Arabidopsis thaliana: one gene and its partner. The protein of the gene in region 1 interacts with the protein of each later gene in a biochemical or structural test. Each region holds a gene or a part of one and is shown in the gene's direction. Other genes may lie near its edges.

Region 1 (4,652 bases):
CACTGCATATAACAACTACAAGAAAACACTGCATATACCAAAATTATCGAAACATGTATATTCCGACAAACTGAAATCACCGGAAAACGGTGGTGTATTGAAACAAAGAGTTGTTTTAACTGAAGTTTGAAAGTAAACAAAAGATTAAAAAGTAATTTATAGTAATGTTAATATTTACTCATGTTTCTGCTTTGGTGATTAGTAATAAATCTTCTAAAATCTATATGCCATTTTATAAATGCGATTAAAAATTTACCAATTAAACCTTATTTAGAAAAATGTAGAGAAAACTTCAAATTATCTCCTCAAGTAGGATTAGATCGAGCTGCAAATTGGCTCTTTTTATTCATTTAATTTCCTCCATTCCTAACTGTATTGGTATTGTTTACTTTATTTCTATAAGCAACAAAAAAAAAAGAATCTTGTGGACAGGTGACAATTTATGAGTCAGCCAGAATTGCCACGTGTCGGAAGATCAGTTGCCGTGGTAAAAGGTGTTTTTTAGATTCTCAAAAAAAAAGTAGTTAAAGAGAATAATATCAAAGAGTCAACTCCACAGTTCACAGATCCACCGTTGGATCTAACTTTTGGATTATCAACGGCCCAGATAATAGTTAACCGGAATCACTCGGTTACCGAGGTAGTCAATAGTTCTGTGTTTTAAAAAGAAATGCGTCCATGTGATCACTTTTATTTTATTTGTAGTCAGCTTTTGTTTTCCTACTTTGTCGTTTTTCTTTATCGCTGTTCTCAACTAAAGACTTGTAGACTATACTAATAAGATATAGTCAACGATTGTCGCTGTTATTATAGCCTTTAATCTCTATTAATGATTGTTAATTGTTCCACAATCTGTGTAGATTAATTAGGTAAAATTAAAAGTCAAGAAAAGATTGTTTTCAATTTACTAGTTTTCCAGTCAAGACGTTTTCTAGAAGGCTATGAGGTAAGAAAAAAAAAATATATATTAGGTGCAAAGTTAATATGGGAGTCAAATATTATTTTCAAATAATTATTATTGTCAATGCACTGCAAAATTAGTAATAATTCTAGAAAGAAATTGAAATAATAAAAATATGCTGCAAACACGAGTTTGGTATGTGTGCACCATATAATATTGACAAGTTGTAGTGTTGGTTGAAGCTAAAAATAACACAAAAACATAAAAAGAACATGAATAACGCCTAAAACTTAACACGAATAAAATAAAAAAACATAAAATATATTATCAAAAGTCAAAATCACAAAAGAAATTAATACCATTTTACAATTAGCTGAAAATTTATTCTATCAAAATCCAGTCCTATTAAAGAAAAATATGTGATTTGAGATGAAATTAATATTACATATTTTGATTTGGTTCAAGAATAAATTATGGATTTTGGTTAAAGACCTTCTAATATTCCAAAGAAACAAAAAAAAATCAGCCCAATTGTTCATACAAATAAAAACAATTCATTACCTTTAATTTTAAATTTATTGACTTGAACTTGAAGACATAAGATACCTAATAAAAGAAAAAATAGATATGAGACTTTAAAAAAGCTTTATGATTTTCTTTAGACACCATCCTTTAATGTTTTTTATTTGACTTTTTGTTTCTTTGAAATTCCTTTACCACCATTTTCCCCAAATTCAAGTTTACGCACAATGATTCCTTTATTTTAAAGACACGATTATAAATTCTTGCTTTGCACAAAAGAAGACCCTACATATCTCACAACTCAAGGAGACCAAACTTTGATTACTTTATTCCATAGAAATCTTCAACTCAATCTCAGCCGTTAGATCTAAAGCACCGATTTGACTAAACTCCATCTTAAACCTACTCAACCGGTCACTCGGTCACACCCATAACCCCATATATCACGCCAACGCCATTCTTTTTTCTTCCAGTTTCGCTCTCTCATTCATCAAAAAAAACTTGCACATCTTCTCAGATCTTCAAGTTTCTCCTCTGGTTTCTCATCATGACCGTTGATATTATGCGTTTACCTAAGATGGAAGATCAAACGGCTATACAAGAAGCTGCATCACAAGGCTTAAAAAGCATGGAACACTTGATTCGTGTCCTCTCTAACCGTCCCGAAGAACGTAACGTTGATTGCTCTGAGATCACTGATTTCACAGTTTCTAAGTTCAAGAAAGTTATCTCTCTTCTTAACCGTTCCGGTCACGCCCGGTTTAGACGTGGTCCGGTTCATTCCCCTCCTTCCTCCTCCGTTCCTCCACCGGTGAAAGTGACAACTCCGGCTCCCACTCAGATCTCTGCTCCAGCACCGGTTAGCTTCGTTCAGGCAAATCAACAAAGCGTGACGTTAGATTTCACTAGACCGAGCGTTTTTGGCGCTAAAACCAAGAGCTCGGAGGTTGTTGAGTTTGCTAAAGAGAGCTTTAGCGTATCTTCTAACTCTTCTTTCATGTCTTCTGCGATCACCGGTGATGGAAGTGTCTCTAAAGGCTCTTCGATCTTTCTTGCTCCGGCTCCAGCGGTGCCAGTGACTTCCTCCGGGAAACCGCCGCTTTCTGGTCTTCCTTACAGGAAGAGATGCTTTGAACATGACCACTCTGAAGGCTTTTCCGGCAAGATCTCTGGCTCCGGCAACGGCAAGTGCCATTGCAAGAAAAGGTATTGTTATTACTCCACAATAAATTAATCATTTGTTTGACTAGCCTAGTAGTAGTTAATTGTTTGGTTCGATACGGTCTAAACCAATCGCTCACGGACTCAGTGAAAATATATCACGAATTCAGATTTCAAAATTCTTTTTTTGCCTCGAATTTGTCAATCATGAACAAGTCTACTAGTTAAATTAACTAGTCTCAGTAAAAAATAAAGAATAAAAATCCGGGTTTAATACTTTGTAGACCGGTTTGGTACTATCTAAACCAATCGGTCAATGTATTTAGTGAAAGTCAACGACAGTAACTTAAACCAAAGTGCACGCCTGACAAGGACAAGTTAGTGGGTGCTGTCGTTTTGTATAGGGAAAGTTTTTACGTTTTAAAAGTCTTTGTCTGCCCGTTGACTTTTGCTAACCTGATGCATGTTCACGTTAGTCGTGTCAGCGCACGTTAAATCATTTCACTAATTACAATGTTTTATTATTTAATTAACAGCCGAAAAAATCGGATGAAGAGAACCGTGAGAGTACCGGCGGTAAGTGCAAAGATCGCCGATATACCACCAGACGAATATTCATGGAGAAAGTATGGACAAAAACCGATCAAAGGCTCACCACATCCACGGTAACTATCGTACACCATCGCTATCCACCGTTGATTTATTTGTGAAACATTGGAGATCTAACGGTTGTGATTTGTTTTTGTTGATTTCAGGGGTTATTACAAGTGTAGTACATTTAGAGGATGTCCAGCGAGGAAACACGTGGAAAGAGCTTTGGATGATTCAACGATGTTGATTGTGACGTACGAAGGAGAGCACCGTCATCACCAGTCCACGATGCAGGAGCATGTAACTCCTAGCGTGAGTGGTTTGGTGTTTGGTTCGGCTTGAAGAATTAATTAGTTTGGTAGTTTTGTAATATTTTGAGAAATAGAGGGGTTGGTTTTGTAATTTTTTTTCTATAACAAAATTAGTTTTAGATTTTTTTTTAGTAGTCTTTTGAATGGATTTTAATCTTACTACCGAGAAAGAAAAAATTCTTACTACATTTTCATAATTTCTTGTTTGATATATTTAGTGGTGTCATGTAAGAAAATGATGTTTAGCAAAGTAATTGGTATATAAATGTGTAGGCATATGTATTTAATGATATGGTTCGTAAAGTTACCATTACTCTGTTTGATCTAGTTATGATTTGTGATGGTTGATTTAGGGGAAAAATGTCATTTAATCCCCCAACTTTCAAAAAATGGCCATTTTATACATCAATTTCATATGTGGCCGTTTAAAACATGAACTAAACGTTGACTAATTTTTAAAACATGATCTTTCGTTGACCAGGCCAAAATAGACATGCCGTTATCAGTCATTAACGGAACTTCTAACGTCCGTTATCATTCGTTAACTTTATTAGTCAAGTTTCAAATTGTGGCCATTTTAAACATCAACTTCTTATGTGGCTATTTAAAACATGAATTAAACGTTGAATACCATTTAAAACATGAAAAATTCGTTGACCAGGCCAAAATAGACATGTCTTTATCAGTAGAACCTAGAAACCCGTTAATGACTGTTAATCTGTCCAAAATAACGTCGTTCAAGAATAATCGAAAGAACATAAAGATTTTTTCCATATGAAATCTCCATATCAAAAAGTTTTAAGCAGAACCCAAGAACATAGTTTGATAAAGAGATAATCGCAGTGCCAGTAATTGGAAGCAAATAAAGGTGTTTTCGTTTATATATTTGTTTTAAATTTTAAAAGGAATCATGGAAGCAAATTGAAGACTCATTATAAGATTGTTCGTCTTGTTTGAGCGGTTGTAAAAATAGATTTGGGGAAGTAGGGTTTCATTTAGAAAACAATCCTGATTTTCTTTTGATTACTCTCAAAACAAAGTCGTTTTAGGGATACTAATAGAGTCGTTAACAAGTGATAATGAATGTTATAAGTTCTTTTAATGAATGATGACAACATGTTTATTTTGGCTTGGTCAACGAATTTCTCATGTTTTAAATGGTAATC
Region 2 (5,120 bases), 1.1 Mb from region 1:
TTAGATTTTTAATCTAACAAAATGCAGATAAAAAATATTTTGAACGTTTAACTAAGAGAAACATCCCCTTGAGAAAAGCTTTAGGAGTTGAACAGTTCTTTCATAATAATAAATCTTAGATATAAGCTACTGATGTTTTCATTGATACCTCTCATAGCTTCGTGCTTCAGACTTAGCACGCGCAACAATTTGCCTCCCATCAGCTGCAAGCCCAGCAACAGCCTGACATGACAGAAGTAGAAATACCCATAATCATGAAACAAAACAATATACTACGAGACTAGACACAATAGTAGTTACAAAAAACTTGAAAGATACATATCCTCAGCAGAAACTAATTTCCTATAGTTTAGGAGAAAAAAACATACCATGCCAGCATGACGATGAACAGAATGGATTCTCCTGTTGGAACCTGGTAGCATCATCTTTGATGCAATAAGTTTCTCAACTCCCTAAAAACCACCAAATGATAAACACTTAGCAAGACCATTCCTTTATCAAAAATCTGCGTAAAATCTTACAAAACCCAAAACTAACAACAGATTCACAACATATCGAACAGGAAATGAAACTAAGGGACTGTAAAATGTGTCATCTTGGGTCAAAATTTACACGGTATATATTACATCAAATCTACAATTCTGATAACAAAAATGTGAATACTTCATTCCAAGGTTAAATCACAGCACGAGAGACTAAACCCACTGAAGAAAGTGACAAAGTAGTATAAAAATCAATAGAGGAAGGAGGAAGAATCAAACCATAACAATCCCATCTTTGCACTTGATTCCAACAACAGTCCTGCGAAGAAAAAAAAAGGGAAAGACTTTTAACAAACCCTAATTCGTGTCGATAACCAAAATCTCAAAGTTTTCAGAAGCTAAATCCGATCTACTAAAGGGCGAAGATCGAAGAAGATAAAGCCAACTAACCCACTGTTGTCGACAGCTTTAGCGGCGTACTCGATCTGGAAAACACGGCCATCGGGAGAGAAAGTGGTGACGGAGAGATCGTACCCAGTTCCAATGCTACTCATCTTCCTTGATTTTTTTTTTCTCTGACTCTTTTCTGATTTCTTCTTCGTCGAGTGATTTAAGCTGAGATCGAAGAAAGGGGTTTTCTTTGTTCTCAAGCCAGAGACAAGCCAAATCTTTGGAGCTCCGTCTGACTCCGGGTTGGATATTAAAACGATTCGGGTTGTTTTGTCGGGTGGGTCGATTCGGTTATTAACGGGCTTTATTAATATTATGATTTGGCCCATTCTTTGGTAATCTTTTAACGGTATCGTGAATATTTTTAAGTGATTTTCCTCTTTTGTATAATTTTGAATAATCAACCACATGAGGAAGAAAGAAATATTTCTCTTACTCAACAAAATATATGATCATACAACACTTCTTTATGAACTCACTAGAGGTAAGACTATAATATGCTCTAGCATTGGGACACACAAACTTTGGGATGCTCAACATTACATGTTTTTAAAACCAAGACAGTAAATTACCTATAATTGTGATGGATACAATAAGTTTGTTTTTTACTACATCTCTAGCCAAACTGAGAGACATAGTTGTGGCGATCAAAAAAGTATGACAGTTTTGCGAAAACTGGATCTTGTTTAATATCAAATCTTTAAGTGAAGGTCATGATGCTTAACTACCCATTAGGTGACCCTTCCAACAACAAAGTAGTGATTTTTGTCCTAACTCCTAGATGATTATTAATTACAAAAACAGTAAATAAAAAGTACTACTATTTCTAAATTTTCTTATAATGCTAAAACTTTTTCTTTGGTTAACTTAATTAAAAAGTAGTTTAAAATCCATGGTAAACACAAAGCTAAACCTTTTTTACCGTTTTATATCACTAGTAATCCCATTCTACCAACTCGTTGAATACTTAGTATTGGTACGCATGGTAAGATCAGTAACTTATATGAACTAAACCATTCAAAGCATGTAAATGGTTGTCGGCAAAACAACAATACTATTTCTTTTCACAAGGGAATATATACATCACCTCCCTCTTAAGTAAAGCTAGTCGAATTGAAAACACAATAAGGCCCAGTGGAGAACAAAACAAAAGAAGAATAAAAAAGAGAATCAGATTCGAAATTATTGTTATTGGGCCTAATGGGCCTTTTCTTTTTCCTTCTTTATAATTCCACACAACAATCCTCTCATTACACACACCAACGTTGATTCTTCTTCTTCTTCTTCTTCTCTCTTTCTCATCTAAACCAAAAAATGGCAGATCAGCTCACCGATGATCAGATCTCTGAGTTCAAGGAAGCTTTTAGCCTTTTCGACAAAGACGGAGATGGTTCTTCTCTCTCAGATCTTTCCTCTTTTGTATAATTTTCATTCATAATAGACTCACTTGCGTTTTTTTTGGTGTTTTGAGTATCACTTAGTCTTGGCTTTAGGAATTTGATGCTCTTCGTTGTCCATAAAATCTCTGGATATTCACATTAACATTAAACGCGAGATTTGATGATATCTTTATCGTTCGTTGATTATAAATTATAATCGCAATCGGATCTATCTCGATAATAATCTCTAACTTAATCGTGTTTTAGTCTTCCAGATTTTACTAATTGTGATTAGAATTGACACAAATCTTAGAATTCAATAATCGAAGTAGATTACATTGACATTTGTAGATTTTTTGTTTAATTGATTCAGTTATTTGAGTAGGTTACAATGAAATTTGAAGATTTTGTGTTCATTTGATACAGTTGTTAGAGTAACTAAAATGAAATTTGAAGATTTTGTGTGTTATTAGAGTAAATTACAATGAAAATTTGAAGATTTGGTGTTAAAATCTGTTACTGATTTGAGAGAAATGTGTGGTTTTGTGTTTAGGTTGCATCACAACGAAAGAGCTAGGAACAGTGATGAGATCATTAGGTCAAAATCCAACAGAAGCAGAGTTACAAGATATGATAAACGAAGTAGATGCTGATGGTAACGGAACCATAGACTTCCCTGAGTTTCTGAACCTAATGGCTAGGAAGATGAAGGACACTGACTCTGAAGAAGAGCTCAAAGAAGCTTTCAGGGTTTTCGATAAGGACCAGAACGGTTTCATCTCGGCAGCTGAGTTAAGACATGTAATGACAAATCTTGGTGAGAAGTTAACTGATGAAGAAGTTGATGAGATGATCAAAGAAGCTGATGTTGATGGAGATGGTCAGATCAATTATGAAGAGTTTGTCAAAGTTATGATGGCAAAGTGAGGAAACTATTCTCATATCTTTTCTCTCTTTTTCTTTCTTTCTTTTTTTGAATTGAACAACTCTGATTATTGCTTTATTCTATGTTTGACTGTTCATTATTATGCATTCGTCCCAAATTTCATGTTATGAACTATTTTGTGACTTTGGGTTAAATTATTTGTTTGGAAGTTTTTAGTTTATTTTATATTATGTGAAGTACCATTGTAATGGTCGTTGAAAAAGCTATCTCTTGGTATTAGTACTTTTTTATTTTATTGTATTTTATAGTTTGCAATGTTTGTTAAAAAAAAAAAGGGTTATTTGTGTGATTAAAATTTGTAGGAAAAATGTCTGAAAACATTATATCGGTAGTTTTAAAAGCTTAGAATTTTTTATTTATTTTTAAATTGTTGGTCAATTTGGAAATTCCCCTATTTTTTAGAGGAATGTTGGCAATAATCCATATAATTTGAGTCAAATTAAAATATGTTTTTCTTATTTTACGGTTCATATAAGAAAATAAGTAAACTGTTAGAAAAAAGTATTATCATTTGTAACGATTAAAACAAGAGATAAAATTTAGGAAATACGAAAAAGGGTTAAAGAAAAACATAACTTCCATTTCATTTTTTCTTTCAAAAGTTTTCAAGCTTCAGTTCTCTTTTTCCCCACTTCAACTTTCAGCTTTGTAAATAACATTCGTGTTTTTCTTGATTCAATATATTCTACATTTTAACAAAAACATATAAAAAGTGGTGTATGCATACAGTAGTTATTCGTGAGGTAGAACGTAATTGTTTAAATTAAAAGGCAGATATGTTTTGGGGAATAAAATCAAAAATGGATGGTAAGTAGCAAAAGCTAGATAGATGAAATGAGAATCTCCAAACCTTTAATTATGACTGAACTTTTTTGTTGGTAACCAGTATTTTTTATTTTTACTTTTTTTTGTTACAAGGCTTAGTTTCTTCTTTTTCTTTTAAATATTATCGAAAATCTTGATACCTAATTATTTTAAAATGTGTGTAATTTATTAGGAGAAGAGGGAAGAGAGTTATGGCAGCAAAGCGTAGTAGCAATTCTGCTGAATACAAAGAAAAGAATGGTCGCCGGAAAAGTCACTGCCGTATTCTCTGAGCTCCGACCATTTGCTTCTTAATTCCTTTTCTTTATATGTTTGTGTGCAATAAGAGATTTGTACCTCTCACACCCATTAAACGGATTTTAAATGTCATATCTTGTTTGAATATGTTAAATATTTACTATACTGTTATATAAAAAGTTTTAAAGTACTATCAATATAGTAAGTTCATTTAGGCATTTCCTATCTACCACAATGTTTAATTTTCGTCTACAACATACGCACACTTATCAAACTTGAATCCAAGTATATAGCGACAACACTAAATCCGAGTTATGATACGACGGTGGCACTAGTACAGAAACACTATCACAATGTTTTTAAGATATTAGCAAGAGAAAACTCAGAAAAGATACACGACCAATATTAGGAGACTTTAACTAATACTCTGGCGATCTAACTGTTATAATTTATCAGTTGATTTAGGCGTTAGGCATTTGCTATCTATCAACAATGTGGGCGGGCATATGGTCTAATTCTTGTGAGATGATAATACAATTAAAACAAAGAAAATACTTTTTTAGGAACTAAACCTAAACTTAAAAGTCTTTCTAATCAGTTGCTATTTAAGTATTTTCATAATAAATCAAGAAATGCAAATTGTACATGAATTCGAAAAGCCTCTCGTTAAGAAAACTTATGATTAAGAATATAATATCCAAATACTAGTTTATAACACCAAATGCATTGAAACACTTTGTGTCACTTAGCATCAAACATTAAACACTTATACCAATTTGAATTTAACATGGCAACAACCGA

What was found.
Region 2: the proteins of WRKY17 (region 1) and CAM5 form a complex in vitro, tested with the Arabidopsis thaliana proteins (one study listed by BioGRID).

Annotation. Positions count from the first base shown.
Region 1 is NC_003071.7:10,436,541-10,441,192, reverse strand, and holds WRKY17 (WRKY DNA-binding protein 17), read left to right. Parts: upstream 1-1,723; 5' UTR 1,724-1,970; coding exon 1,971-2,629; intron 2,630-3,120; coding exon 3,121-3,249; intron 3,250-3,339; coding exon 3,340-3,517; 3' UTR 3,518-3,840; downstream 3,841-4,652.
Region 2 is NC_003071.7:11,529,823-11,534,942, forward strand, and holds CAM5 (calmodulin 5), read left to right. Parts: upstream 1-2,144; 5' UTR 2,145-2,246; coding exon 2,247-2,322; intron 2,323-2,864; coding exon 2,865-3,234; coding exon of another isoform or gene 3,235-3,238; exon of another isoform or gene 3,239-3,462; intron 3,463-4,254; coding exon 4,255-4,354; 3' UTR 4,355-4,536; downstream 4,537-5,120. Other genes in the region: PAG1 (20S proteasome alpha subunit G1), read right to left, coding at 149-222, 369-452, 762-801, 933-1,342. UniProt on the Arabidopsis thaliana protein: Calmodulin mediates the control of a large number of enzymes, ion channels and other proteins by Ca(2+). Among the enzymes to be stimulated by the calmodulin-Ca(2+) complex are a number of protein kinases and phosphatases.